Arabidopsis thaliana: one gene and its partners. The protein of the gene in region 2 interacts with the protein of the main gene of each other region in a pairwise test. Each region holds a gene or a part of one and is shown on either strand. Other genes may lie near its edges.

Region 1 (7,237 bases), 8.3 Mb from region 2:
AAAAAGTTGTTGGTAAGACAGTGATACAGGCAAAAATTGTGGTCTCATTCAACACGGGAAAAAAGTTGCTGTCTTACGCATGTACTGCAGTAGGAAACAGAGATAGACAAAAATGTGTTTTTATCATATCCAGTTTCTGTTGCTGCAGAGTTTTAACAAAACAAAATCACCTTAATAAAATATTAGCGTATAGAAAACATTCAGTTATAGATTCTAATGGAAAAATAAAAGTCAAGCTCATTACACTACAAAATCATTTCATCTTCCACATATTGAAAGCTGTTGATGCAGAGCCAAGAGTGGTCTGTTGAGTCACTCAGAAGACACCTTCATCTTTTTGGCAACAGTCTCTTCCTTATGCTTAAGCTTAGCGTCTTTCCGCTCTCTCTTCGATCCCTTAGATTTATCGAACAGTTTCATTTCTTTCAGCTGCACAAAGATCGAAAACATATCAGTTTGGGATGATAATAAAAATAATAATCTCCAGATTCGGATATTGGCGTTTATCGCTTTCTTTCTTACCTTCTGATCAGGCATATAAATCTTCCCAGTCTTCCCTAGTACTGCATCTTGATCAACGTTTTTCTCCTGTAGAAGAAGAGATTGATTGATTAGTCATCTGTCTCTTTCGATTTTAAGAGAAATATTAGACTTTTATGTTGTTTAGTACCTTCTTCTTAGGCTTATCCTTGGATGTTCTCATTGCTTCTTTCATTAAGCTATCGTTAGGAAGACGATTACGCCTGATAACCAAGTCCATGGATGGACCGACTTCAACAAGCTCCATTCTCGGAACAATGGATCCTGACTTTTTAAGCTTCAATGCGCAATGAGTAAGGAAAACCTTTGTTGGGGATATAGCTGAACATACGTAAGCGCGGTCTAAACCAGTAAGATTTAGATTATCCACAACCTGCAGACATATACAAATTCTGTTATAAGCCAAATCCATATAGAATCAGAATAAAATTGAAACTGGTTATGGAATTAGCTGCAAAAGTAGGTCATAAGAATCAAACACTTCACCTCGCCACGAAAAAGATCAGTGAGGACTTCTTTGAGATGCTTAAGCTCTGATACATTCTCAAAACCTTCACCAATAAAGCAAATGAAAGGCTTTGTTCCTTCATGAGGTGCGAATTTCTTGTCATACGAAAACGCCCGCAAGGATTTAAAGTTCTCAATCCCAACTTCTATAAGATCATAGACTTGGTGATCATACATTCTCCCAAGTACAAGATTGTCAGGTCGTTTCTTCGTGTGAGAACCATACTGCAATATAAAAACAATCACCAATGTTAGAACTCGCATCAAAGTTAATTTGCCAATACACCTTTCCAAATGACTTCTTAAGGCCTGTGATAACATCAGCCAATCATACCAATTTCCACCATAAATAAATACACATAGACTAACAAGACAGAAGCAGAGATGCCTTAGAATGAATCTAGATCACAGGATAGATCATCTTAATAACATTTTGTTCTATCTAGCAGTTCATAGCTAAGTTAAGAGGAGAATCAAAGTTGCAACACCATAAAACCAAGATGCAACAGCTGCCAAAGCTTATGAACTTACCACAAAAATGCTACAATCTGTTTTCTGAGAGAAGAACTCTAATGAAGTTTCACCTCCACTCTCGAAAGGCCTAATATTCTCATTCCTCCTTGAATATCTGATGGCACCTCCCTTCTTCAAACGGTAGAGTTCCGTCATTACAGAGCTAAGTGTAGCACTCGTCTTTGTTCCATGAAGTATCAACGTCTTCTTCCCAGTTTCAACCTACAAATTCCAAAAACAACCAATTCAGATACAAAGTTTGCAACTTTCAATCGATTCTTTGATAAATTTATCGACAAATAGAAAACCCATGAGTCTCATAGATGTCAAAACAACATTGAAGACAGCTCTCAACATGATTCACTTCTCGGTTTTAAGAAGGACGAAGGAGAAAAAGAAGAGAACTTTACCAACTTAGGAGCTCGGCTTTCGAGAACACGCTTGGCTTTGCCAGTCTTCGGAGTTCGTATTTCCATCATGACTCTGTTAAATCGCCGGAAAGTTTCACAAGCGACGGCTCCGAAAGAAGAGAGAAAGGTTTTTCGATTGATTGATATGGAGTCTAGGGTTTTAGTGCCTCCTCACAATTGGAAGCAACTTTAAGAGAATTCTAATATGACCCCTAACCTTATAAGTCTGTCCTAAATCACCCCACAGTTTTTTATTGACTATAAAACCCAATGTTTCACAAGGTCCATGAACTGTTTAAACTATACGGGCTCAAATTAAACAATGACAGCCCATGAACTTTTACACACAAAAAAGACATTTCATTGCGGTACAAAAAATTTACAAATTTTTATTTATGTTCACTTTTATATCCATGATGATGAAACTATACAAAACGAATAGAGAACATGAACATATTCCAAATTCGTTTCCATGTTATTATTCGAGTTGTTAAGGAGAAGAAACAACAAAACATTTTGATTGATGCTTCGTGTGAGATTTACAAGTTTCTCCCAATGGTACGATCAATGATCTTCACGCCTGACATTGTGCAATCGTAACTTGCTTCCCTGTTTTATAGAGAAGAAGGAAGATGCATGTAAGAGATATTTACATGGAACTGTCTTCTCCTCCACAACCACTTGCTTTTCATCCTCAAAAGGAAAAAAACTGGTCACTCACTACTGAATCAGACAGACAAAGTATCTCCAACTTAGATTCACCACAGAGATCTCAACCTAATAGTCTAGACCTCAAGATATTATAGTAAGGCATACCTTGCATAGACTTCTCGAGGTCTTGTAATTGTCTGATGAAACCAGCATTAGGACTTGCCACGGGTCTTTTGCTTTTAACATGTTGCAATGCTTGAGCTAAAGTCATACCGTGTTTCTTCATGAGGTAAGCAACAACTATAGTGACACTGCAAGTAAAAGGGACAAACCATCCAGGCTAAATATGTACTTAGTTTTGAATACTATCCAGCAAACAAGGCGAAAACCGCTAGATATTGAAGGAAGCAAACAAAACTGACCTCCGTGATTTGCCAACAAAGCAATGAACAAGAACACTACCGCCTTGTCTCTTGGCTTCATCAATGAAATCAACACACTCATCGAAGTACATTTCTAGATTTGTATCTTCCTTATCCACGACTATCACATAGAAAAACAATCAAACAAGCAATTCCATCCCAAAATCAAAAACATATTCTCTCTTCAACTAGATAACAAAGTGAAACCTTTAATAAGTTTATACCTCGAACAACCTTGTAAACAAAGTCATCAGGATGAGCTGGTCTCAACGAACTAGCAACAGTCAAAATATGTGTAACATTGTAAGATTTCAAAACATTCTTATTACTAGCTGCTGCAACAGATCCAAGATAAAGACCCTGAAAAAGTCAAATTCAACAAAAGGTTTGATCTTTGATAATGAATCATTGGTCATTTGGTTGGTAGAAAAAACCTATGAGTATTAGTAGTAGTAGTAACCTGTTCAATAAGGGAAGGGACATTGTCGTCTCTATAGGTACGAGCAACTTTAATAACACGAACAAGAGCTTGTATCTGATTCTTCACCTTTTCATTATACTTTTCTATTCCTGGTAACGAAGAAGATGACGAAGAAGAAGAAGGTGATCCTCTGTCTCTAGAACTCCTGATTTCATCGAATCAGAAAAAAGAAGAAGAGAGTTTACATATCAAGATCGTGATCATAGCAGCAAGAATCAAAATCAAAATCAAAATCCAGGTCACCGAAATAATGGAATCCGATTCTGATGAATGATCTTATAACCGAACAACGGTGAATCGAGAATTACGATTACAACGACGGAGTAGTGATTGGTTTAAGATCAAAAGAAGAATTCGATTATCAAGGAAGAAGAACTTACATTGGAAAAGAAGGAATACGAATTCGCCAAAGGAGAAAGAGATTTACAAAAAAAAAAAAACGAATCTTTGAAATGGGTTAAAGAGGAAATTGCAACTGCATGGTTCTCCAGGTTTTTTGGGGGAAGGAGGAGGAGGAGAGGGAAGGATGTGTTCAAAGAGGGCCAAATAGTAAAATTTCCTTTCTATCAGAAAAATCAGAAATGTTTTAACTTATTAGCTCAGTCCTTATATTATACTCAAAAATTTGTGTTTGGGATTTGTGCTTTGTAGGCTTGGTTTCCTGCTATTAGGCCCCCTGGATTAGTAAGAAGTAGTGTACTTGGCTGAAACTGAGGCAACGGTGTTGTGAATATGTCAGCAAAACTGTACAGAGGCAGAGATGTATCGAGTGATGATGATGTTGTTGTTAAAGACTGTTTGTTATTATGACGTAGTAGTAATCTACTTTAATGTTTTTTTCGAGGGCAGTAGAGCACAAATCTACTTCAATATAGTCCATCGAAGTTCGATATTTTACTTCGATAGACTATCTAATCAAAGCCGGTCTCGACGAGTTTCTCGGTTTCCATTTTGGTACGGTCTTTCCCATTCCTAGAAATTGTGCATGAACATGAAGTACTTCCTTGCTCACTTGATGCTGTCTTAGGCTTGTTTAGAAATAGGACCCTAATTGCTTTAAGAAATCTGACTAAAAAGTAATGGACAATGTACAAATGTACCCTCAGCACACCCTCTAAGCCCGGTCCTGGCACATATCGACGAGTTTGTCGGTTTCATTTTGGTATGGTTTGGTTTACCCACTCCTTGCTCACTTGTCTTAGGCTTGTTTAGAATTTGGGCTTATGGGCTTGGTTTGCTACGTCACCGTATACGTAACTTCGTCACCTCAAAAACTATGCGAGAAAGAGTGACTTAAGAAGCAACAAAAAGATAAACCAAAAACTATACGTTCTTCTTGTATGATGATGACGACATTGACTTTGAAACAGTGTTATCTAAAAACGATTTGATCGGAAATATCTAACAACGATTCAAGAAAACCAAATGAAATTTGCAATTTCCAAGTACAAATTCGAGAAATTGAGTAAACATAAACTTGGTAGAAGAAAGAAATTATTTTTCTAATTACAGATCGAAAGAAGATTCTTCAGAGCCAAGTAACAGAAACCAAGGAATTAGCAAGCCCAGATTGTTCAAAAGTAGTATTAGATCCAAAATAAAGATTCTTATAATCCCCAGGAAACCCTTGAATCAATTTAAAACGCCGCTTTCTCTCAGAAGATTCATCACCAATCTGCGAATAACAAAACGACCAAAGAAGCTGAACAGATTCACTCTTTAAGAAACTTCTCTGTATTCTTCTCCCATCTGGTAATCGAACGCAGATTCTGCACAAAACGCTTTGATCCATATCGCGATTCGGTTCTTCTGGTAAGTTAGGGAATCCGAATACCGCGTTTGATGAATTCGTCGTATTCTCGGTTTCTTCTGATTCTTCTTCAGAGAAGCGTTTCGGGCGTTTGATTCTTCGCAGAGACTCGATTTCCAGAGAGGCGACGTCTACGAACGGTGATAATTTCTCCATCATTGATTGACACTCGAGCATCGTTTTGATCGATGATTACGGAGAGATTTAGGTAAATTTCAAAACCCTAATTGTTTCATAGTTAGAGTGGATTTTTGTGGAATTTGTGAGCTTCTCGTTTATTTATAGAGACGAGACGATAGAGAGGAGCTATAAAGGTTTGTTTCCTTTTCCTTGAAAATAGAAAAATAGATTTATTAGTATTATTGTTTTTGTGTTAGTAGAATTGATTTTTGGAGATATTCTGCGGATTTTTTTTTGTTTCTATTTTCCTTTTTTTTTTTTGTGTAATTACAGATTTTGTTTTTGATAATTGTAAGTTTGTAATACAAATTTAATTATGAGAAATCTACATTGATTATGAATTGAGATTTTATTTGATTTCTCTAAAGAACCTAGTGACTTTCTTGAGCAATATCTTCTTGTTTTGGCAAGTTTTTTTTTTCTGTCCACATTTTTGCACGATTTTTAAGCAACAATATAAATAATATATGGATCAATTTCTTATACAATAAATTTATCGTATAATTTTGTCAATTACTAGTTTTCTTTTTTTTAGGTTTTTGTGTGTGGACAAACTCTCTTAAATCATTTTCATGTAATGATTTTGACTCTTATAAATTACTCTCATTTGACCCAAAAAAAAAAAAATTACTCAAGGTCTCAAGTCTCAACAATCAATAATTTTGCGTTTTGACTATCAAATTCATCAAGAAGAAGAAGAATTGATTATTTCTGTATATATGTACAATATCTTTTTTACTTCTTTAGTCGAAGAAGACATTGATTTCAATCAAAGTTTGTTTTGGTAACTTTTTTTGCTTACCACAAGAAGATGATGAGAAGGGTAACGTATCGTCAACATATAAAAATCATAAAACAATGATTAACAAAAGGTATCACAGAATCTCAGAGAATGCTTCAAAAGACTATAGAAAGTAGAAATTGAAACACCAACCAAGAGTTTTGCTTTGTCTCTCTTTAATTTTTATTCTTTGCATATATGAAGTAATAGACAATACCTTTCTTTCTTTCTCAAATCATTTGATGTAGGTCACAAACCAATCAAGCATCTCCTTGTGAGCTTCTTCTGCTGCTTTAACCGCCTCTGGTTCATCGATGTTGTATCTAACTGTCCATCCGTGTGACACTTTCGGGTGTATCTTCACGTAACTATTCACCTACAGGATCCGTTTTAAAGTTAGATAAAGGTGATTAAATTACACTGTTGAGTTGCGGTGATAAAGCAGCTTACCTCGGGTTTGGAAGATAGAATCTCCTCAAATTGCTTCAAGAGTGCTGGTGGGGACATTTGATCAATTTCAGCTCCTAATATAGCAATTGGAGCCTTCCCACCTGCAATAAACCCGTGAAATTGATAAGGATCATCAAAGACCGGTGAAAGTAAAGAAACCGGACCAATCACAGTGTTTTTTATGTTTGCAAATGTGAATTAGTATTCTTTACAGTAATAATGATAGTATCTAATCATGGCGAGATCAGTTACGCAATCCTATAGGTGACTCTAAATGTTACAACGCATTAGGCAAGGCATGACAACTAATGTTCCTTGGTTCTATGTGAGGAATCAAGATGGAAGTAGCAAAGTCACTAACCTTTGATATCATCAACATTGACAAAAGAAGGATGAAGCAACACAGCTGCTTGAATAAGCTCTTCTTTAGACAGTTCCACCACTACTTTTGCTGAAGATGAATAACACAAGAGAGAAAAGTACTATCCATTA
Region 2 (7,569 bases):
AATGGCTACAAATTGGAGATACTTTCAGACAAAGCTCTCTGTAAAGAAATGCAAATGATAACAACAAAGGACATGTTCTTTCTTTCTCCAGCTTAAAGATCAGTGAGAGACATTTGCAGCTTGCTTATGATCATCATCCTTGAGGTTTCTGTATCTGTATAGCCAAGAACACACAAGAAAATAGCCAAGATTCAAGACTCCTCCTATGACTAAAATCCAGTAAACATTGTCAACTCTTCCATGGTTTATGTCATCTGGTAACCACGCCGTGGTCCTTTGAATCAGATCTATCAAAGCAGTGCTTGTGTAGAAACATATCCCAATCACCACCGAGGTTATCGATGTTGCGGTGCTTCTCATAGACTCTGGAAACTCTTGATAGCACAGAGCTACATTCCCTGGGAAATGGAAGGCCTCTCCTGCAACCAAAAAACAAGAACATGGTCGGATTGATCTGAACTCGTAGAATGAATTATTATCCGGAATCAAATCCTTACCGATTCCTACTATGACTAGAGGAGGGAAGAGCCATAAGACTGACATGTCAGCAACAGATGATGATCCGAGAAAATGACCCTTCTGTACTATCTTTAATCGCTTTGCTTCAACTATGGCAGTCACAGCCATGCTTAGAATGTTGAACGCATGGCCTATCCCAACTCGTTGGAGCGGTGTGAGGTGCTTTCCCGTTAACTTTTGGTAAAATGGATAGAGAACCCTATCGTTGACTATGATAAATAGGCAAGTGGAGAGAAGTGTTATGACTTGGAGAGAGCCTGCAGGGATTTTGAAGCTAGGACCAAGCCTCCGGTCCATCACCAGACCTTGAAGAACTGTTAAGCTTAGTTGCATTGCGATTGGAGTGCTCAAGAATATTGTGGCTAAGGCGAGAGGGATGATTCTTATGACTGCTTTGAAATCTTCCACTTGTTGAACGCTGCATAGTCTCCATGGATTGCGAATTGTGCCATCTGGTTTTACCTCGTCTTCCTGTTTCAATGCTGCACGGTTAAAGAACCTGCGTATTTGAAAACTCATTAGAACGGCCTCTCAGTGCAAGAATGAAACTGCGGTTTTCGAGCCGGTTTTTCTACCTGAAACTCTTTGTGGGCATTGTGATTGATTCATTGTGGTAGTCTTTTTCGTTGGTGGAAACCACAGCTTTTCTTTTGCGTAATGCTGCGAAAATGACGCATAGTAGACTTGTGAAGGGACTTCCCAAAGGCTTGTCATGCTTGTAGAATCTTTTCCCCGAGACGAAAACCAAAAAACTGAAGAAATTAGCGGCTACAGACAGACCAAACCCAAGGGTCCAGCTGATATTGTCTTCGGTGTAGACAATGGCGGTTGCACTTATAGCTCCGGCTAGATATGTTGTGAAGAAAAACCAGTTGAAAAAGCTTCCTTGGTCTTTAGTTTTTTCATACTGGTTCGCACCAGCAGTTGCTAATGTGAACCGTGTCCCACCTGTTCCTATAGAGGCTAGAGTTATGGCCGTGTAAAGGACTCCGAGCTGGGTTTTCGAAGGAGACTGGCATAGTATTGAAGCTGTTTCGCAGGGTCTAGGTCTTAAAGTGTCAAGTGAAGCAGTTAGAGTCAGTAGAGCTACACCCTGGTCAAGAGTAGAATTAGTGAATTTCTGTTTCAGAGAGAAACTGATAAAAACAAATGTCAAGGACTCTTTATTAACTTTACCATAAGAGAAATGAAAGCTGAAACTGAGATAACAGGAATGGTTCCAAAGAAAGAGTCAGATGCAATGGCTGCAACAGCTGGAACCATACAGATACAACCACTAACAATATTAGCAATCTGAGCCGCTGCAATGCTCTTCACGTTGAATTCCTCGATCAGGTAGACGATCAAGTTAAGTAACCAACCCCACGCAGCTATTGTCAAGCCTAACAACGTAGCTGCACCATAGAAAGATAAGATAAATTCAACTTCTTCTTCCAAGCTCTAATGGTTATGAAGTTATGAGAAATATAAAAACAGAGAAACAGAATCTCTCACCTATCATAAACGGAAAGGTAATCCAACCTCCACCACGGCGTTTGGTGCTTGAATCTGCTGATATCGCTGTTTCTGCATCGCCAGTAACTGAACTAGCCATGTCTCAAAATCAAGCAGAAATCTTTCACTATTTTTGTCAACAATGGCCTGAAATTCTGAAACATATATACAGTATAAGTAATAATACAGCAATGATGACTTTCTCGGGTCCACGATATTTTATTCTCCATGCGCAGCAGCTTCAAATAAAGAAACATTAAGAAAGTAAAACAAAAACTCAAAGGTTTCCGTTGATGCAAGTTGAGCCATCACTGTCTGCTTCGTAACAGCCTGTGTGAAGACAACATTATTTCCAACCCAACGTTTTAGAAGTCAACTCTAAATTGTCAGACAAAGGATATTACAATATTACTAAAGAAAGACACATTTGTGCCTAATTATTGCTAAGGAATTGACCATTTCTACTTCAATAATGCAAGCTACCTAAAGCCAATCCCACTAAAATCTATTGAAAGTCATTGAATGAGAATAGACAACTCACGGCGACAGCATTGACTCTGGCTCTAGCTCTATAATGTCTCCCACAAATATTGAGGCTCTGTACATTACAAAATTATATTCTCTCTTCTCTTTGTTTACTAGGGAAGACTCAAGAGTATGTGAAGTAAAAAAGTCTATAGATATTCTTTAATAACTGGAGTACTTTACATTGGAGCTACACTTAATCACTAGCAGTAAATAACATGAACAAACAAATAAAAGTTACAAGATTACATATGTGGAAGAAGTACATGAATAAAAGAACAGGCAAAGATACTAAGTAGCCATTCGGATGGTTATTGGGTAATACCAGGCATTCACGGGGCTGCTGCACTTCTAACCGTATGTTGGATTGAGTGCTATGGCTTCTTGGTAGATCATCTCTTTTATCTGTTCCTCATCCAGAGGCTGTTGTTCGAACTCAAAAGAGAATGGCTTTTGACAGATTGGCTCATCATTCGGGTCGTGCAATTTAGCAAGGTACTGGTGATTCAGAGCTTGTTCAACTGCACAAGATGGTATTTTCAGTTTTTAATCAAAACATAGTGATGGTAAGAAAAACCAACAGAGAACATGTATGAAACTTACCAGTGATTCTTCTGTTGGGGTCAAACGTCAACATTCTGTCAACAAGATCAATGGCCATTGGGTTAACATGAGAGAAAAGTTTAGCTAAGGGCTGACGTGGGAAGTTGGGAAGTTGCCGGATGTATCTTTTCGCATCCTCATTGTGAGTAAAACCGAGATCAGATTCTGTCGGTGTGCCAAGCAACTGCAAGATTCAAACAAATTCATCACATATTCCGTGAAAAGGCAGAATCTTTAAACCATGCTAAAATTACATAACTCTCTAAAATATTTTACCTCTGTCAATAAGCGCATTTGATGAACATGGTCTTTACCAGGGAACAAAGGCTTTCTATTCATAAGCTCCATAAAGATACAACCAACAGACCAAACATCAATAGCAGCTGTGTAATCTGAAGAGTTCAACAGAAGCTCAGGTGCTCTATACCATCTCGTAACAACATACTCAGTCATAAAATCATTCTCTGAAGTAGGTCTAGCAAGACCGAAATCACAAATCTTTAAATCGCAATTCGCGTTCAACAGAAGATTGCTCGGCTTTAAATCCCTATGAATAATGTTAGCTGAGTGGATATACTTCAGTCCTCGAAGTAGCTGGTACAAGAAGTACTGTTTCCATGACAACAAAAACACCAAATCAAGTATCAGTTTCATGTCTCTTCTATCAAATATAAATCCCAGAAAAAAGCCAAGAACAGTTTTTAGTTTACCTGACAGTGTTCTTCTGATAAACTCTGGTTAGATCTGATGATTTGATGAAGATCAGTATCCATTAATTCAGTAGAGATATAAACATCACTGAACTGTCTTCTTAGTGGTGGTGGAACAACATCTCTTATAGCTATAATCTGTTGCAATACCAAATCAAAAAACCCTAATCATGATTTATTTACTAATTTCTACAGATATTTCACAAAATCGAACAAAAACACTAACGTTTTCATGATCAAGATGACGAAGAAGCTTGATCTCACGAAGCGTACGCTTAGCATCCATATGATTATCAAAAGCATTAGCTATCTTCTTCATCGCTACTAGCTCGTTCGTCTCCGTATCCAACACAGAGCTTCACAAAATCAAAATCCAGAAATTAAAAACTCCGATCTCAAAGAATAAAACTTAAGAAAAAGCTCAGAGAAGGAAACATACCAAACGATTCCATAAGCTCCACGACCAATTGGTATAATCGGAGGACGATACTTAGATGTGATCTCGAATAAACTACCGAAGATATCGTAACTTATGAACTGTCCTCCGTGAGTTTCCACCGCCGGAAAATCCGTGTATTGGCCACCGCCGGTGTTCATTTCTCTCTCAATTGATCAAAGTCGAGATTCAGTGGTTGCTTTGAGGTTTGAAGTAGTGAATCTGAAGGTATTTGTATGGTTTTATATAACAGTCGGAGTCAACAGAGAGACTGAGATTGAGGATTGAGCAGAGATGAGTTTTCGCGGTAATTGCGAGGAAGAAGATGAAGAAGAAGAAGAAGAGAGAAGAGGGAAAGGCAGAGAAGATCGTGTGGTTGAGATTAGAGCCGCCTCAAATCGACGGTTTCTGTTCGTTGTTGACTTCGTCAACGTTCTTCCTCTTCCTAACGTCCTTTACGGTTCTGTATCTATCTATCTGCCATAGTTAAATAATGACAATAATAGTGTGGGGATTTTAGTAATTGTAATCTTAATTGGATCATATTCGTTTTAATACGATCAATAAATTAATTAATATACTCGTTTTATTCGTTCAGGAATTAAAATTTTGTATTGTTTTACGTTACGTAAAATTATATAACACTCGTTTTAAGTATTGTATTTTATGCGATTAATTTATTATAAGTATTGAATATCATGTGTGGTTTACGATGGTTAATAATATTATTATTATATAGACTAAATTAGTTTAAAAACAAAAGATACTATTCAATTATGATTTTTAAGTAAGCTATTTTCGATCAGAATTTTTTTATTCTCTTCTTTCTCTAAAATTTTGAGAAAAAGAAAAAATTCTTTGTTTCGTATGCCTTCCCGTATGTTTGTGAGGTTGTGTTCGGACATGGTCCAACTTTTTGTTTCAATACCGTACGGTGAGTTCTAGTTATAGTTACCGGTAAATCCGGTTTTATCGTCGCCGTTCTTTGGTATTTTGCCTTTATTTGTCTTTATTTCTAATAAACTTATTAAGTTTCTTCATTACGAAGAAAAAGTGGAAGTTTAAGAGTTTCGGCTTCATAAGCCTTGTCGTTCAAATTTTGTAGTAGTTTCACTTGATGGGCATGGCGACGTTAAGTCTCACCGGAAAATCTTTTTGGTTGCTTACGTCATTGTGATGCTTCATGCTACTTTGGAATGGTGGACGCTTTCCTTCATATGAAAGAAAGTTTCGTTCGTTTGTTAAATCTGAGTTTAATTTCGTTTGGAAGAGGAAGACTAGATGTGCAATTTCTTTAGAGGGTCTTCAGTGCTCTACTTGAAGCTTCTGGTTTTGCGGAGTGAACGAACTTTCGGTGGGTAGGCGTTCTTCGATCTCAGAAAACATGCCGGCAGTGGTTGGCATTCTCGACAAACACGTTCTTCTCGTCACGTGTCTGTGATTTCCTCATGAGGCGACACATGTCTCTGTGTTGTATGGCTTTCTTATCCCTTCCTCGATGGGTTACTATATTGGGCTCGGTTTGACTTTTGTTGTTGGACTTTTGTTTTAAGAAGGCTTTGTTTTAAGAAGAAAGAGATAGCAAAATAGGCAAAATCTCTATTTGCGCAAATTGGTTTTGGAGTTGAGAAGCGGATCTTTGTGGTTACTTTTCGTTAGGATATCTGTGTAAGAGGGCCTTGCAGAAGTTTTGGATTGATTGGATTGCACTCATGGCTCCATCAGATCGCGTGTTAAGTGTAAAGGTTCCCCGAATGGGGATTAAGTGAGAGATTCAGTTTCTCCCTTTTTAGTATCTTATTTTCTTTTGAGATTTCTGTAAGATTTACTCTTTCAATAGTTCATTGTTAGTTTACAAATTTGATTCGTCTTTTACCGACCAACATATACCATTTCATTTCCAATGAAAGCAGACAAGATAAAGCAGAACTTGCAGATTATGAAAATGTTCAATTCTGAGTAGATGAAAATTAAAGGAGATTATCTATATGTGTTTGATAATTTAATATCGTAATGCTCATTAGCCTATCGAATTCTGTAAGTGGAGTTTTCCACTATTGTAACACTTTGTTGTTATATATCAAAGCCAACACTTATGAAGAAAAAAAAGTAAGCTATTTTCGAGTTCGAACAAGATATTAATATTTAGTTTACAAATTCCTCTAAATAATCGTATGCGCTATATAATTTATGTTCCAACATTATCGTTAAAAATATTGATTTTGTTATGAAATTTATTTAAGTTAGAGTTCTATTTATGTTAAGGAATAACGATGCATCGTTAAACTTCACTGGATTATAACCTTCTAAAACTATTCCAAAGTCATCTAAAAGTGATTTCAAATACTTAACCTTATCAAAACAATGATTGTTTAAATTAGTTCTAAACTTTAAATCGAGTACTTCCTAGATGGACAAACGAAAATCATTAGGTACGGGCAAAATCGAAAGCTTATAAAGAGCTTCCAAATGCATGTGGATGATATTTCCCTTATGAACACTCTTTTGAAAAGAATGGCCTAGTCGTTTATTCCATTGTTCATCTGTAGAACGTTTAAAAGCTTGAAACTTGTGGACTGTTCAAAGGTTTTGAAGCAAGTCTCCATTGCAACAACTTAAAATGAGTTCTTCTTTGTTACATAAACTAATGATGCATGAGTGTGTTCTATCACTTTGTTACTTTTTCAGCTTAAAATAGTTTATCCCATATTCTTTTGCTTATTACTTTTTTTAGCTGTATTTTATTTTGAACATTGAGTTACTCTTAGATACAAAGATATATATGAAGGATAGTATTCGTGTATGTTTATGTTTTAATTTACGAGTAAAATATTTTCTGAAGTCACATGTTTGAGTTTTGTTGTGTACAGTATTCTTATTTGTAATTTGTTCTTAATCCGGTACTTAGATCATCATAATTTATAGAAAAATAATTATTTTGATGAAATTTCATTGTATTAGACGATTAGTTTTATAAAACTTGTAACTAAATTTCTAAATTTTTAGATTTATTTCCACATGATTTCTGAAAATATCGGATATGTAGAAGAACAAAAATTAAAATATAATCATTGGGTTGAAATAAAACCACCACCAAATTAAATCAGTCTTTAACCGACGCCAACCAAAAATAATCGAACCGGAGATAGTGGCAGATCCGTAATAAACTAATAATCTAAGGGCATAGTTAATTCTTCTTATTAGGCAATCGTGGATCTAGAAGCGGCCAAAATCTCAGCCATCCAATCTCTCTCACTTGTTGTCTCTTGCAATCTCCCACTT
Region 3 (7,888 bases), on a different chromosome or scaffold from region 2:
CATTAATTTAGTTGTTAAATTGTTTGTTAAACAAGTTTTGAAAATGATTTTGAAAAGAATAATGACTTTGTTCGAGAGATATCAACAAATTTAAGAATGTACAGTATTTGGCTTATTTGAGGATTCAAATACTAATATCCAAGACAATTACAAATTACAGTTTTTGGATATTACCAAGATCATTGGATCACTAATTTGTTTCTAGATGCTATTAGTATTACACTATTACTATTACTACATCAAATAGTAAATGCAATTTATTTGCATCTCACTGGTAAAATCATAAAAGCATGATGAAAGTTTCAACAAAAAGAAGCAATGCATTCAAAAAGCGACGCCAGTGAAATAGTGTATGAAGCTTCCACAAAAACACTCAACACAAAAACAATTATCACGTTGGAATTTAGAAACGAATCTTTGCACTATGAAAAATGCATACAAATAATTGACACATACATGTAGATACGCTTTTATCATGAGATTAGACTTGACAACACAACATTATCGAAATTGAGTGATACAAATAGTAAGTGCAGGAAAATAATTCGATAATCTTATTAGGTGGAGCCTTATCAAATACGACCCATGAAGATTGAAGAGTATCATTTATGATTTTACCACAACTATTGCTTTTTCCTCAGATTTGACATTAATTTCACGATTTGTTTTATTCCTTTTCACTTTCTTTTTTGGAGTCAGCTATCTTATTAATTGGTGTACGGTGATAATCATAGCCGTTGGTTGTGGTTTGTTTTGAGTTTCAACGGTTGGGATTGAAAGCTTATCAGGAGATCTAAAATCTGAAACTGTACAACTTTTGTCTACCGTCCAGATAGAGAGAAAAGTACTGTCAAAGTCAGAGAGAGATTCGGTCTCTAGTCTCTGTTTTACTCATCTATATTGCCACGTGTCTTCCATAAACAAAAAAGAAGATCATCAAAACGCGCGATCTACCAAACACTGTGTACACGTTTAATTACACAGTAATTACTAATCACAATAGGTGTTTCTTGTTAGACGGTTTAATAACTATAATTACATAGGGTTTAATTTAACACATGAATGATTTAAAATGGAGAAATTAAGGAACCGTGATTAAGGTTGTCTGTCAGTCTTTGTCTGCAGCATTGTAGCCGATGAAGGAAGAAATTTGGGAGTTTGGTAATATGGAGACAAGAAATGACCTCTGATAATCCCATTTTTATATTATAAAATTCCCAAAATACCCATCTTTACTTGACCAAAAACTCACAACGAGTTTGGTAATACGGAGACAAGATTTGACCTCTGATAATCTTGTTTGAAAATTCCCATATTACCCTTCCTTCCTTGACCAAAACTCTTACCCGACTCTTGGTTGGTTCGGCTTTTCCGTCATATCGGTCTCACACGTGGAAGAACCATGTCCGATGGTTCATTATTTTCAAAAGCTTACTCTTTTTTTTTTGGTGTGGCAAAAGCTTACTCTTTTAAATAAGATTGAGTTTTTTTTTTTGGTAACATACGCTTCTTGTGATTAAGTTCATTTAAAGCAACACAATAATTCTTGTGTTTTTTATTTGCATGTAAAGGTAGACACAAAACTCGAATCTAAAATCAATAATTTTATTTGTTTAGTGACTGATTTGAAAAAAACGCAGAATAAACTAACCTGATTAAAAAAAAAGAGAGTTTATATTGGAGCTTACTGAATTCTATCGATCTAAAGTATAAGATGACAAAAAATTCCTCGTATCATTTGGGTTTAAATATATGATGGGATGGTAAATGGTAATTAAAGCCAATAGTAATAATTTATAAAATAATAACGACAAAACGAAATAAAGGAAGAAAATTTGCAAGAATAACTAACAAAAACTTATAAATTAAGAAAGTAACACAAAACAAAAAAACAGATATACTCTCTATATTATATATAATAATGGTATATTTACCCATTTTTCTCCACCTCATTCTAAGTCCCTCCTTCTCTCTTCACCTCTCATCTCTTTTTCTTTCTTCTCTCAATCTTTTTTTTTTTTCTTTTTTTGTATCACATAACAAACAAACGAGAAGGACAAAATAGATTTTTCAGATACCACTTATGTTATCTGGTTGCTTGAGTTGCCAAGGTTGTATCTTAGGGTATAGTTTTTCTATACATCCAAAATAGTATAGTACAACATTTTATTTCTATCCAAAATAGTACATGTTTTTACTTACAAACACTATTTACTATTTTATAAATTCAAATCCGATTTTAAAAATTCAAACTATTTTGTATGTAGAAAAAATATAGGTTTTTTCTAATAAATTTTATAATTGGAATTTATTTTTTGGAAAAGATATATAACAAAAAAAAAACAAATAGGTGAAAAACTAAACTAAATGTTACTAAATCATTTTACCTCCAATTCAACACTAAAATTGTCTTTTCCTTATCCTTACATGCTATTTTCTTAATTTTTATATATATGGTACTATATTTTTAATTTGTTTGTCAAATATGGTTATTCAGCTAAATCACCCAATAGAGACTCAATAGAGACTGAGAGAGAGAAAAAGAAGGGTTTCTCGTAAAATCTCCAAATTCATTTGAACTTTCCCAAACATTGGAATATGTGTAAGTCCCATAGGAGTAGGACAGAGTCGATAGGGGTGTGATCCTAACATACCAGAGAAAGATCGTCGAATCCTCCATTTCTTTTTATGGCAACCATATTTTAATTATATACTACTATTTATTAATTTAATTGGGTGTGATTTTTACTTCGCGTAATATAAATATGCTTTTTCTACATTTTCCCAATAATTTTGTAAAAGTGTAAAGTCTCTACAAAAACATTGTTTAGTCCTCCTTTTTTGGTCTAAATATTTGTTTAGTCCTATATCCATATTTTGTGACACTACTAGTATTATAAAAACATAACAAATTCTCAAGTTACACTTCTCGTTTTGTTTGGGTCAACCACACAACACCACAAGTTTTACTTGTACAAAGTAATTGTTTGTTTATGTTTTTCTGTTGTATGTATTTTTTTTAATTGGTCAAAAGAAAATATGTTTTAAATAAAAAGGTGAAAAAAGGCCTATGGGATTGGAATAATAAGATAGAAAACAAAATAGCATGCTTTGCTTCCTCCACTAAACTTCCTTTAAGGGCAGAGAGAGAGATAAAAAGATTGATTGCGTGTGTTTCACACCAATAAATCCCTTTATTTTTATTTTTTGGTCTCCAAATTTACTAACTTCTAATAATTTCCAATTTTACCCCTTATTTTTCTTCCTTTGGTTTTAACCTATTCACTGCATTTCCTTGGTATAAAATCCAACTTCTTCTCCTTCAAGAATCTAGAGATAGAGAGAGAGAGAGAACACAAAGTGGGAAAAAAGATAAGAACCCACCATAAAGTTTTAACATTTTTCCCTTCAAAAGGCGAAAGCTTTTGATTTGTATAAAAGTCCCACTTAATCACCTCTCTAGCTTCTCATTCCATTTCCATCTCCTCTCTTTTGTTTTCTAAGTTGCTTCAAGAGTTTTGGATAGTGTAGCAGAGAGATTTTAACTAATGGGTTTATAAAATTTTGTTCTTTTGCGTGAACAAGTTGTCAACTTCTAGACAGATTTTCTTTTTGAAGTGTTTTCTTGTCGAAATTCTTCTTCTTTTGGTCAAAGAACGCAAGATTCTTCTGTAGTTCCTCTAAAAAAAATCCTAATGGAGGGTTATTCAAGAAACGGTGAAATCTCTCCGAAGCTGCTTGACTTGATGATTCCACAAGAGAGAAGAAATTGGTTTCACGATGAGAAAAACTCTGTTTTCAAAACAGAGGAGAAGAAGCTTGAGCTAAAGCTTGGACCACCTGGTGAAGAAGATGATGATGAATCGATGATAAGACACATGAAGAAAGAACCAAAAGACAAATCTATCCTCTCTCTCGCTGGCAAATACTTCTCTCCTTCTTCCACCAAAACCACATCCCATAAAAGGTTTTAAACTTCTCATCTCTTACTTTTTGTTTTTCTCTGTTTTGTATCCTTCTCACATGATGATATTCACTTGTTATTAGCCAATAAGGTCCCATCTATCTGCATAAACTTTGTTCTTGTCTGCTTAAGATTGGATCTCAAAACTTTTCATCTTTTTACCCTTTTCCCATCTGAAAGTTTCAGTCTTTTTACTGCCCTAGTTTTCCTCTGTTTTTAACCTTGAGATTGTTCTTGTCTTACTAACAAGTTTTGTTTTGATGCCTTTGTGTTTTAAAGAACTGCTCCTGGTCCAGTGGTGGGATGGCCTCCGGTTCGATCCTTCAGGAAGAATTTAGCTAGTGGAAGTTCTTCAAAGCTTGGAAATGACTCAACCACCTCCAATGGTGTTACCCTCAAGAACCAAAAGTGTGATGCTGCTGCTAAGACAACAGAACCAAAGAGACAAGGAGGCATGTTTGTGAAGATCAACATGTATGGTGTTCCCATTGGTCGTAAAGTTGATCTCAGTGCTCATAATAGCTATGAGCAGTTATCTTTCACAGTTGACAAGCTCTTCAGAGGTCTTCTTGCAGGTAAATTTGAAACCTTTGTCTCTCTATTGATTATGGTTAAAAAAGGGTTGAATTTTGAACTCTAATTGTTCTTATTTTATCAGCTCAAAGAGACTTTCCATCATCCATAGAAGATGAAAAACCAATCACTGGATTATTAGATGGGAATGGAGAATATACTCTTACATATGAAGACAATGAAGGAGACAAGATGCTTGTAGGAGATGTTCCATGGCAGTAAGAATCTTTTCTTTTCTTTTTCGTTTTTTTCTGAATCTGAGTCAGCTTTTTGTTCTATCTAAAGGAGAAGTATTAGATTCCTAGTCACATATTTATTATATCTTAATCACAGTTTGATTAATAACAAACTTAGTTTGGTTAAGCTATTAAAGATTGTGGACTTTTTGATCACTAAAATTGATTATTTCTTAAATTGTCAGAATGTTTGTGTCTTCGGTGAAGAGGCTGCGTGTGATTAAAACTTCTGAGATTTCTTCAGCATTAACATGTAAGTGTAGGATTTTAATAACATTTTTTAGTTGTTTTGGTGACTCTTTTAAGTGAAGTTCTTAGAATGTTTTTTTGTTGTTTTGAAATTTGCAGATGGAAATGGTAAGCAAGAGAAAATGAGAAGATGAAGAAAAAGATCTTTTACAGCTTTTAAAGAAGTAGAGAGATGTTATTAATTGCATTTTGCCTTTAAACTTTGATGAGTTTTTGGTCTTGGAAAAGTTTCTGATATAAGTCTGATGTACATTCTGGTTTGTTACATCTTCTTTTGGCTTTTGAGATATCATAGAGTTTTGTTGGAACTCAAAGACCAAACAGTGCAATGATGATTTTGGGGTCTTGAGTAAATTTACAAACCCTTTTAGGCATATTATAATAGTCTTCTGTTTTTAAGTTTTGGTAATGATTATTCACACTTGATCAACACTTTTAAGTAATGTAACTCTCCCTATGTCAGCAAAGCATCCTTTTCGAAAAACGGAGAAAAGAAACAATCTTTTTCTCTGCCAAAAAGCTCTTTAGCTTTTATTAAATCTATACTTAGGGTATCCGCTATTGTAATGAACTATGAGAGTGAAAGGTTTTAAAACATTGAACAACTTTTCTTTAAATGAGCTGTTAGGACAGATATTCAAACCATTGTCTAACCACATCTTTCATCTTTGTCTGGACTCTTGGGCAACAAAATTACAGACATCATTAGATTATCATCTTCTGATTATTGATCTACATATTTGATAATACTTGATATGATATAGTTTCTATGTATAATCATCTCTAAATTTATGTTTCTAGTTTAGCTTTTGTGTTTCGTAGAATAGATATATAAAATAAAGGGTTGTTCATAAGCATATGTATTCATACGATCAAATCGTTTAAAAGGAAAAAAGGAAGAAAAAATTGGTGGGTATGGAATATTGATAAAGAGAGTACAAAATAGAAAAATTGAAGAGAAGTCTTTTTCGTTGAGAGTCTTGCCTAACTATTCGAAGCAGCAATATGAGACCTTATAGTTACTTTTTTCCTTTTGCCTTCGAAAATGTTCATTCTATATTCTTTTGAAGTCTACAGTGATATTGATGGCCAATTGTGTTGTCCTCTCAACATTTTAGGACCACTCTATCTAGTCCAAAAAATTAATATTCTGGTTTTAAGTTCAAGTAATAAGCGACGTTTACTCTTGTACTGTAGTAACTTGTTTGGATCAAATAAATTTATCATTGAGTTAACGATAGAATAAAACCGAATTCTAAAGAAAATAAACTTGTATTTGCTAGCGGAAATTTCTAAATTTAAGGAAAAGAAACCTGATGCGGAAGAAACTTCGAATTCTAAAGGAAAAATGTCCAATGGCAAAGCCCAAGTTAAAGAAAAGGAGACTTAATAGTTAATACTAATTAAAGGTCATTGTTTGCTGTAGAAAAGCCTTAATCAGAATGGGTAAAAGAATTGATGTTGTCGAGAAACACTAGTCCACAGGGATATGAGATATGGAGTTGTTAGAAACTTCGAATTCTAAGGTATGCTTTTGTAGTGACATGCCATTCTAAATTCGAATGAAACTAGAGTTTCACATCGGTCTATAAAAGGAGAGATCGGGGAGAAGATAAGTCATATCCAACATCAATACCTAAGGAAACCGACGTTTAGTAGCGCTACCACTTTGTATTTACAAGACAGTTCAGATTCTTGTTTGAAATCAAGTTCCAAGTAACTAACTTAATGTGAAACTGTTCGTTTTCAATAAGTTAACTTTACTGAATGTAATGGTTGAATGATAAATAAATAGATAAATAAATATTCCAAATAAGAAAATATATTTCAATAAGCATTTTAACATTTAAAAGATATTTATCTTAATGTTGAAGATTTTTTCTGAAAGATATAAAATTAATTTTCTTTAATTATTGAGTTTACTTTGGTAAAAAATAATTTGATTTCATTTTATGTTCACAAACTTAAAATATTGTGTTATAAACAGAAATTTTGTATTTGGAAAAAATCGAGTAGTATAGTGAACAAATCTTTAAGAGATGAATTTTCACAAGTTTGGTCACATACATAATAAAGTTGGTGTGTGTGTATGTGTTAGTATTGAAAATGTGTAATCCATTTAATTGAGTCATTGCCATTATTGGAGATACTTTGGTCAAATGTCTATACTGGTAATAATACCAAAAAATTCAAATAAAAACGTTCAATTACCCCATTTTAACCGATCAATCAGTGCATTGATTATGTTTTAGCTATTAAGAAGGAAAAAATCTTCTCTTAATCAGCGTTCTTAATTAAATCGAGTTATAGAGTGAAATGTGACATTCTTTATTCGGTGACTCTTAACACATTAAGGCACTATTTGTTTTCTTATTTCTGTGAGAAACAAATTTTGTAGGAGGCAGAGAAACCACTTTTGTCATTTGCAGGCGAGTGCTACTTTTAATTTATTTATTTAATCGTTTTTTAAGTGTAATTAACATTTCTGTTTTACTCTTTTGTCGATTCTTTGTCTGCAGATTGTTGTTCCATAACGTTTGGTTTCACGATGTTTTCCTCTTTTTTCCATTGTATTTGAAGAAGTTTATGGATTGTGTTAAAAAGAATCCAATAAAAAATAATTATAATTTTTTTTGATATGTCTCTCCATGACATCATGTTTTGTCTTCTAATTCAGGTTTCACGAGGCTTTTGTCAGATTTTTTTCTTCTGTATTTTGAACCTTCCTTCTTTATTTTGTTCAAACCATGATCTTCTTTTTCTTCAAAACAATATTTTTTGCCAACATTTATTTACTAGCCAAATCTTTCACACTGTGATATGTTTTGTCTTTACTATCATCCTCTACTCGAATAAATTATCAATT

The links. The genes of interacting proteins can lie anywhere in the genome.
Region 1: the proteins of MPK3 (region 2) and DSPTP1 interact in binary tests that used the Arabidopsis thaliana proteins (3 or more experiments, as listed by UniProt).
Region 3: the proteins of MPK3 (region 2) and IAA18 interact in binary tests that used the Arabidopsis thaliana proteins (3 or more experiments, as listed by UniProt).

Annotation. Positions count from the first base shown.
Region 1 is NC_003074.8:8,474,949-8,482,185, reverse strand, and holds DSPTP1 (dual specificity protein phosphatase 1), read right to left. Parts: upstream 4,065-7,237; 5' UTR 3,907-4,064; coding exon 3,905-3,906; intron 3,670-3,904; coding exon 3,504-3,669; intron 3,404-3,503; coding exon 3,268-3,403; intron 3,165-3,267; coding exon 3,044-3,164; coding exon of another isoform or gene 3,013-3,043; exon of another isoform or gene 2,933-3,012; coding exon 2,787-2,932; coding exon of another isoform or gene 2,743-2,786; exon of another isoform or gene 2,694-2,742; coding exon of another isoform or gene 2,665-2,693; exon of another isoform or gene 2,651-2,664; coding exon 2,535-2,650; 3' UTR 2,345-2,534; downstream 1-2,344. Other genes in the region: AT3G23620 (Ribosomal RNA processing Brix domain protein), read right to left, coding at 313-429, 523-588, 671-913, 1,027-1,272, 1,579-1,782, 1,971-2,039; AT3G23605 (Ubiquitin-like superfamily protein), read right to left, coding at 5,053-5,511; AT3G23600 (alpha/beta-Hydrolases superfamily protein), read right to left, coding at 6,531-6,671, 6,746-6,846, 7,107-7,196. UniProt on the Arabidopsis thaliana protein: Has a dual specificity toward Ser/Thr and Tyr-containing proteins. Dephosphorylates MPK4 in vitro.
Region 2 is NC_003074.8:16,753,797-16,761,365, reverse strand, and holds MPK3 (mitogen-activated protein kinase 3), read right to left. Parts: upstream 4,796-7,569; 5' UTR 4,774-4,795; coding exon of another isoform or gene 4,582-4,773; 5' UTR 4,449-4,581; coding exon 4,291-4,448; intron 4,208-4,290; coding exon 4,078-4,207; intron 3,990-4,077; coding exon 3,852-3,989; intron 3,751-3,851; coding exon 3,418-3,750; intron 3,326-3,417; coding exon 3,142-3,325; intron 3,060-3,141; coding exon 2,890-3,059; 3' UTR 2,492-2,889; downstream 1-2,491. Other genes in the region: NAXT1 (nitrate excretion transporter1), read right to left, coding at 100-1,018, 1,095-1,612, 1,696-1,913, 2,014-2,113; AT3G45645 (uncharacterized protein), read left to right, coding at 4,582-4,773. UniProt on the Arabidopsis thaliana protein: Involved in oxidative stress-mediated signaling cascade (such as ozone). Involved in the innate immune MAP kinase signaling cascade (MEKK1, MKK4/MKK5 and MPK3/MPK6) downstream of bacterial flagellin receptor FLS2.
Region 3 is NC_003070.9:19,301,975-19,309,862, forward strand, and holds IAA18 (indole-3-acetic acid inducible 18), read left to right. Parts: upstream 1-3,106; 5' UTR 3,107-3,695; coding exon 3,696-3,967; intron 3,968-4,243; coding exon 4,244-4,539; intron 4,540-4,622; coding exon 4,623-4,755; intron 4,756-4,958; coding exon 4,959-5,026; intron 5,027-5,121; coding exon 5,122-5,156; 3' UTR 5,157-5,544; downstream 5,545-7,888. UniProt on the Arabidopsis thaliana protein: Aux/IAA proteins are short-lived transcriptional factors that function as repressors of early auxin response genes at low auxin concentrations.